2 separate regions of the Mus musculus genome follow, and region 2 is reported to be linked to region 1. Evidence: microRNA targets listed by miRTarBase, many of them from high-throughput screens and not tested one by one. Region 1 holds a microRNA gene; the other region holds the end of a gene's coding sequence.

What was found. The annotated mature microRNA mmu-miR-3079-5p reads UUUGAUCUGAUGAGCUAAGCUGG and lies in region 1 at 2,325-2,347, shown strand. An mRNA with a match to its seed (bases 2 to 7 or 8) in the 3' UTR can be bound and repressed. Matches are read on the target gene's strand: a 7mer-m8 pairs with bases 2 to 8, a 7mer-A1 pairs with bases 2 to 7 and ends in A, and an 8mer does both.
Region 2: miRTarBase lists Ints6l as a target of mmu-miR-3079-5p. Seed matches in the 3' UTR shown: 7mer-A1 at 1,311-1,317.

Annotation. Positions count from the first base shown.
Region 1 is chr15:76,289,873-76,293,278 of GRCm38, reverse strand. Mir3079 (microRNA 3079) reads left to right here and starts at 2,311; the gene lies at 2,311-2,400. It overlaps Spatc1 (spermatogenesis and centriole associated 1), which reads right to left. Exons shown (of 5, transcript NM_028852.1): 5 at 707-1,115. The coding sequence ends at 786.
Region 2 is chrX:56,506,468-56,509,873 of GRCm38, forward strand. Ints6l (integrator complex subunit 6 like) reads left to right here. Exons shown (of 17, transcript NM_172779.4): 17 at 413-1,376. The coding sequence ends at 521. Among named protein-coding and RNA genes, the nearest start is that of Gm648, 41 kb to the right of the region's middle.

The sequences.
Region 1 (3,406 bases):
GGCAAGCCAGAAACTACTCCAGGCTTTTCCACACTGCCCTTCTCATGAACCAACCCCATTTTGGTCTCCACTCTTCTAGAAACACCACGATGTTTCCAATCTCAGCCTACCCATTGATTTCAATACCCCCCTCCCACAAGGGCCCCAATTTTTCCAACCCATGTTCCTTTTTTTTCATTTATTTATTCATTTTACATCCCCATAGATGCCCCCTGCTCCTGGTCCCCCCTCCCACAATCCCTCGCCCTATCCCCCCCAACCCATGTTTTTCATTCTCTGGTCAGCTCTGGTCCCCCATGCTTAGACAGAACCCATCCTTTTCTCAGACCTTGGGCATCTTCACAAGGGGCTGCCATCTCCCAGGCTCCCTTGCCCAGGTTTGGATGAGGTGGCATCTGGCTCTCTTACCTCTACTGTCCTGCCCCAAGGCCCTGAGGCTCCCTACCCCTTTGCTAAGAACAGGGAAGTATCCTTTCTTTCTGCATCATCCCTTCCCTGTTCCTGATCCTACTCCCTCTTTTTTTTCCTCCGCTCCCAGAACTTCTGTTTTCATTACCAAGTAAAAAGGGAATTTGGGACCTTCCATTTAATCCCATTAGAAAGACAGTGTCTGAGAGCTCTGTCTCTCCAGGGAGGCTGTAATGTGAATGTGGCCCCCCCACCCCACCCCACTGGAGCAGGAAGGTGTGGCTTGGGCCCAGTGACCAGAGTCTGTGGGAAACTTTAATGGCCATGCACAATGGCCTACAGGGTGAAGTGAGCCTGGGCCAGCCGGGCACCGGGTGTTACCAGATGAACATAGGTTTGCCGTCATCGTGGGACAGCTGATGGAGGCAGGAGAGCAGCAGGAGGGCGTCCGTGAGCTTGCTGGGGTGCACGGTTTCCAATAGCACACGCTGCAAGAAGTCCACCGTGTAGCAGCCACCTTCAGATGCCGCCAGCTCAGGCCGCTCGCGCAGGATGCCGTACTCATTGACCAGCTGTTCTGTCAGTGCCGGGTGCACCCGCCCGTTGTAGCCTAAGCTCTGCAGCTTGTTCATGATGCTCACGTAACGCTGTGTGAGCGTCTGGCACAGGTCCTCATCCAACTTGTGATTACTGGGGTTTAGGGAGGCCTGTTGGGGAGAGTGGCCATCAGGGACCCCCCACACACACACACCCCACCCTGGCTCACAGGCAGGCGGGAAGAGCAGGGGCAAGGGAGGCCGGGGGAAAGGAAATTGTGAAGTATTGCTATGAGGATGCCAAGAGAGGAGAAGCCATGGTCCCTGAAAGGTCCAGAGGGCTGGGCCTGAGGTCAAGGCACCCAAAAACCCAACTCAGGCAGGCCCAGAGGCTCCCCAAAGCTGCTAGAGACATGCATCCCACTGTTTTTTTGTTTTGTTTGTTTTTTCCTTCCACCAGCTATGTGGGACTATGTGGCTTCCAGTATGGGGGCACAGGGAGTTCTTCATACTCTCAGGTTGCCAGACCCCAGAGTTTGCATGCTTTCCCAAGAGCTAATAGAAAGCACTTAACCTGGAATAACAGACACCGTTCTAACAGGGCAGGAAGGTCTTCCTGAACATCACCTTTCCCGAGGCCCCCGTGGAGTCAAGGTACTGACATTTCTACCAAGCACGCCCATGCTGACAGGCTGATGGGACTTCCATGTGGGAAGACGTATTTCCACATAGAAGGTGGCAGGTCTCTGGGGGGCACCATGGGTATAGCACTGGCTCTTCAGGGACAGTTGTACTCAACTGGGGACACCCACCTGATCTCTCTGCTGTGTTGGGACTGGTGCCCCTGGTATATTCACTGGGAAAGTCCCTTGGTGTGTTGACATTTTTCTGGGCAGTACGGCAAACGCGATTTTGTGTCTTTCCTGGAGCTGGGGACCCTATTATATTAAATCCCTATCTGTGTACATCAGTTGCTGTCTGCAGCCAAGCACACTGGATGATTTGTCTAAGAAGGCAAATCTGTCAGGCAGGGAGGAGCACAATGAGAAGGCCAGTGCGCTCCTCGGATAGATGCAGGGAAGGTGGCCTGTGGCATTTGTTGCTTTGTATATTTTTGCAAAAAGAAGTAGCCAGTGTGATCTGTGGTGAGGAAAGAATTAAGGCCTGGTAGAATGCTGACCTTTTCACAAGGGCCTGGATCACCAAGCACCAGAAGAAGAAGGAGGAGGAGGAAGAAGAGGAGGAGGAAGAAGAAGAAAGAAGAGGAACAGGAGGAAGGGGGAAGAAGGGGAGGGGGAGGGGGAGACTACAGAGCTCCAGCCTAAGCCTTCTCTAGAAGACCCCACTGTGCTCCCAGACAACCTCTGCCAAGCTAAGGACTTTGATCTGATGAGCTAAGCTGGAGTTCCCATTCACCTGGCTCCAGGCTCATCAGATGAAAGTCCTTAGCTTAGGTGTGGCCTTTGTTGGAGTAGGTGTGGTGTGGCCTTGTTGGAGGAAGTGAGTCACTGTGGGGGTGGACTTTAAGACCCTCCTCCTAGCAGAAGCCAGTCTTCTGTTTGCCTTCGGAATAAATTGTAGGACTCTCAGCTCCCCTTCCTGCACCATGCCCGCCTAGAAGCTGCCGTGCTCCTGCCTTGATGAAAATGGACTGAACTTCTGAATCTGTTAAGCCAACCCCAATTAAATGTTGTCCTGATTAAGAGTTGCCTTGGGGGGGGGGGCGTCCCATAATCAGTCACCAAACACAGACACTATTGCATACGCCAGCAAGATTTTGCTACAGTACCCTGATATAGCTGTCTCTTGTGAGGCCATGACAGTGCCTGGCAAATACAGAAGTGGATGCTCCCTGTGGAGGCCCCCAATGGAGGAGCTAGAGAAAGTACCCAAGGGGCTGAAGGGGTCTGCAACCCTATAAGTGGAACAACAATATGAACTAACCAGTACCCCCGGAGCTCGTGTCTCTAGCTGCATATGTAGCAGAAGATGGCCTAGTCAGCCATCATTGGGAAGAGAAGCCCCTTGGTCTTGCAAACTTTATATGCCTCAGTACAGGGGAACGACAGGGCCAAGAAATGGGAGTGGGTGGGTAGGGGAGCAGGGCAGAGGGGAGGGTATAGGGGACTTTTGGGATAGCATTTGAAATGTAAATGAAGAAAATATCTAATAAAAAAAAAGTTGCCTTGGTCATGGTGTCTGTTCACAGCAGTAAAACTGTGTGTGTTCTGGGATTGAAGGCATGTAGCACCACATCTGGTTTATGTAGTATCGCTAGGCAAGCATTTCTATCAGCTGAGCTACATGGAAGCACTAAGTTTAATGCTTTGTTTCGTTTTTTTTGGGGGGGGGGAGTTCAAGACAGGGTTTCTCTGTGTAGCCCTGGCTGTCCCGGAATTCACTTTGTAGACCAGGCTGGCCTCGAACTCAGAAATCCACCTGCCTTGCCTCCCGAGTGCTGG
Region 2 (3,406 bases), not on the chromosome of region 1:
TCGGTATAAACAGCACTTGTATAGGCTTTCTAATTGCTTTGGGTTCTATTTGTCTTTGTTTTAATTTAGTAGTAGGATCCAATGAAGGATAAAGTCTCTCTCTCTCTCTCTCTCTCTCTCTCTCTCTCTCTCTCTCTCTCTCTCTCTCTCTCTCTCTTTCTCTCTTTGAAAGCACTTGTTCTACTCATAGGTAAGGGTGCTTCCTGCAGTGTTCTGATGGATGCTACCAGAGTCCTGACTCATGGGTTCTAGCTAATGTGTATGTGCGCTCATCAGATTGGCATGTCCCCTTGCTCAGCCCTGCTCTTTCCATGAGGATGACTTCTGCTCCCTTTGGCCTGCAGGCTACATAACACCTGGCACTCTGTAAAGTTGTCTATGACACTTATGCTTACTCTCTTTTTCTCTTCAGGTTTAAAAGAAGAGTCTTAATTCAGTACCTTGAGAAGGTACTAGAAAAAATCGATTCCCACCACCTTCTTAACAATGTGAATCACATCAACAGCAGATCATCATGTTAATGCCAAGCCAAGTGAGGAAAAAGAACACCTTTTATGTGCTTTCAAATGCAATGGGACGTTACTGAAGCCCTATAGTATGTTTGAGTGACAGAGCGACCTAACTCAGGCTATGAGAAAGGAGTTGACTTGAGCTTTTAACGATTATCTGGAAGTAAAATCTGGGCTTTTGCCTTAAGAATTATTGAGAATATTTTTTTCATTTCGTTGTTTATTTTTTCCAATTAGGAAAAGAGATGCTGAATCACAGAGCACTGCTGCTCCTACTACAGCTAGTAGAGTTCACTCATTTTGGACCTTGCCATTCCAGGCGGTTTCAGAGTGAATAGGGACTGGCCACTTCCAAGGCGAGCACTACCTACTGTCCTCATTGTGTGCTAAAGAACACGAAAGCAGAGAGAGTCCACGTGGTGATCTTGTGCTCAAAGAACTCTTCAAAGATTTCTAGCTGTGCCTTTTAAACCATGCAATATTCAGGATCGTTGGAATCAAAGAGTAAAAAGCTGCTATTTCGGTAACTTAATTCTCTCTGGGAAAGGGCAGGGGGAGTCAGCAAACAATCTACCTCGAGTGCTCTTCCACTTTGACTAGGACCATTACAAAGTGTATCTGAGGCTGCACTAACCTCTGACATCTGTTCTTGCATGTGACAACAGAAAGCTTTCAGGTGGACTTGTACATTTTTGTGCTTTGGAAGCACCAAAAGGAAAAATAATATGTATATTTTCTTTGAAGTTTATACAGAAGTTTATATGGAGCAGTATTGTTGTTTTTATTTGTAAAAATGTAAGTGATCAAAGAGATTTTCACTTTGCATATATGAAATAAAATCATTTTATTGATTTTTTCAAAACTACATTTCTAGGTGTATGTCTCTTGTGTATATCCTTTCAGAAACAAACAAACTTCACACTATCAAACAAATGAACACGCTAACAAAAAGACCCATAAGACAGCTTAGCAAGTACAGGCCCTTGCCACCTAAGTTTGATCCCTGGGCTGCCCATGGTGAAAGGAGAGAACCAACTCCCAGAAGTTGTCTTCTGACTTCTACACACACACACACACACACACACACACACACACACACTGTGATACAAGCACATGTGTGTATATACATAAACAAAAAAAAATTTTTTTTAATGTTAACAAAGTAATTGAACTTAGAAACATAACATGGTGTTATTAGAAGGCTGTGGGGAGGCCAGACCCTTCCAAATACGAGTATCTGGGGAGAGAAAACTGCCAAAATCAAGTTTACTGGGACTCTGAAATTTAGCCAAAAGGTTTGTCTCTGCTTTTGCCCATTGAAAATTTTGTACATGTATTTTGAACATATTCATCACTCCTAAGTCCTCCTATTATTGCCTCTCCACCCACCATATGTTGCCAAACAATTTTGAGGTTTCATTTTTTTTTCTTTACCCATCAAGCCCAGTATGTGTTGCCCAGCTGGTCATGGGAGTGGGGCCTGCCCTGTTATATGGTCAACCACATCATTAAAGAAAACTGCCTTTTCCTCTGCCAGCAACTAGCAAATGCCAGTAGCTTCCCAGCTAGCCATAGAATTCCATGTCTACCTTTGTCCCTTTGTGCTGGCATTTTTGTCTGGTTAGAGCTTGTACAGGTCTTCCGGAGTCTGTCACAATTGCTATTAACTCATATATGTCTGTCCCATTCTGTCTGAGAACAGTTTCTTTGGTATGATCAGCCATATCTAGCTCTCATAGTATTTCATCTGATCCTTTTTTCAAAGATCCCTGAACATTTTGTTCAGGGGTATTAGGACTGAGCACTCCAGTCTCATATTCTTTGCATGTTAATCAGTCGAGTATTTCTCTGTGAAGTGCCATCTATTGAGACATGCTTCTCTGATGAGAGGTGAGAGATGTACTGATCTATATTACATGTTAGCAACGTGATTTGAAGTCATTTTTTACTGTGTCTATCTAACAGAATAACAGTAATTGATTCTTCCCTAAGGCCTCTGGTCTATCTAGCCACAGATTCTTGGCTACTTGAACAATGCTGGGTATGGGTCCAATTCTCATGGAATAGCCTCAGATCCTATCAGAAAGTGATTGACGGCTCCCATACCATGCTCTTATTGCCCCAGTGGGCAAATCTTGCCAAACCAGTTCTTGTAGCTTGCAGGGTTCACACCTAAGTGAGATTGATGATGACTTTTCTTCTCCGGCAACATGCATAGCATCTTCTAGCACTGTGAACACTAGCCAATAGGGGTAAAGCTCCCAGGTGAGTACCAGCTTGATTTTTCCATGTTCTGTTGTGACTAGTGATAGGATCTTACTATCAAGTTCTGGAGGATAACAGTATAGACCATAGTCTATATACTACTTGGAAGTCTATGTCACCCCATTGAGCAACAACTCAAAAAGCGGTAGCTATTGTTTGATAGTTTCCCTCTAGATTGAGAAACTCCATCATGCAGGGAAGCTCTTTAACAGAAGTTAAACAACTCAAACGAGCTTCAGGAAGTCCCCAAAACTGACCAGATTCACTAGGCCCCTCCTTCAAGAGTAAACAGGACTTTTGAGAGTCACTCTCATACAAGACAAGCTGCAAAGAAAACCCTGAGACCAGATCAATTGCCTGGAAAAAGCAGAGGTCAGCTTAGCAGCCTGGAAGACATTTAGTTCTCACCCATGCTGGAATGGGCTTTGGTGATGCAGCTGCTGTTGTCAGTACTTTTCCTGTATGTAACCTCTCACCCATATTCCTGTAAGTAACCACAGTAAAACTCATTGGTTCACCAAGTTGAACTTCAGTGGTACCTGTACTTTGGTCTGTCATGGGATCCCTATCTGGGGTGAATAGATATGTGTGTAGCATCTCCCCAGGGAAAGTCTTGTCACACAACAACAACA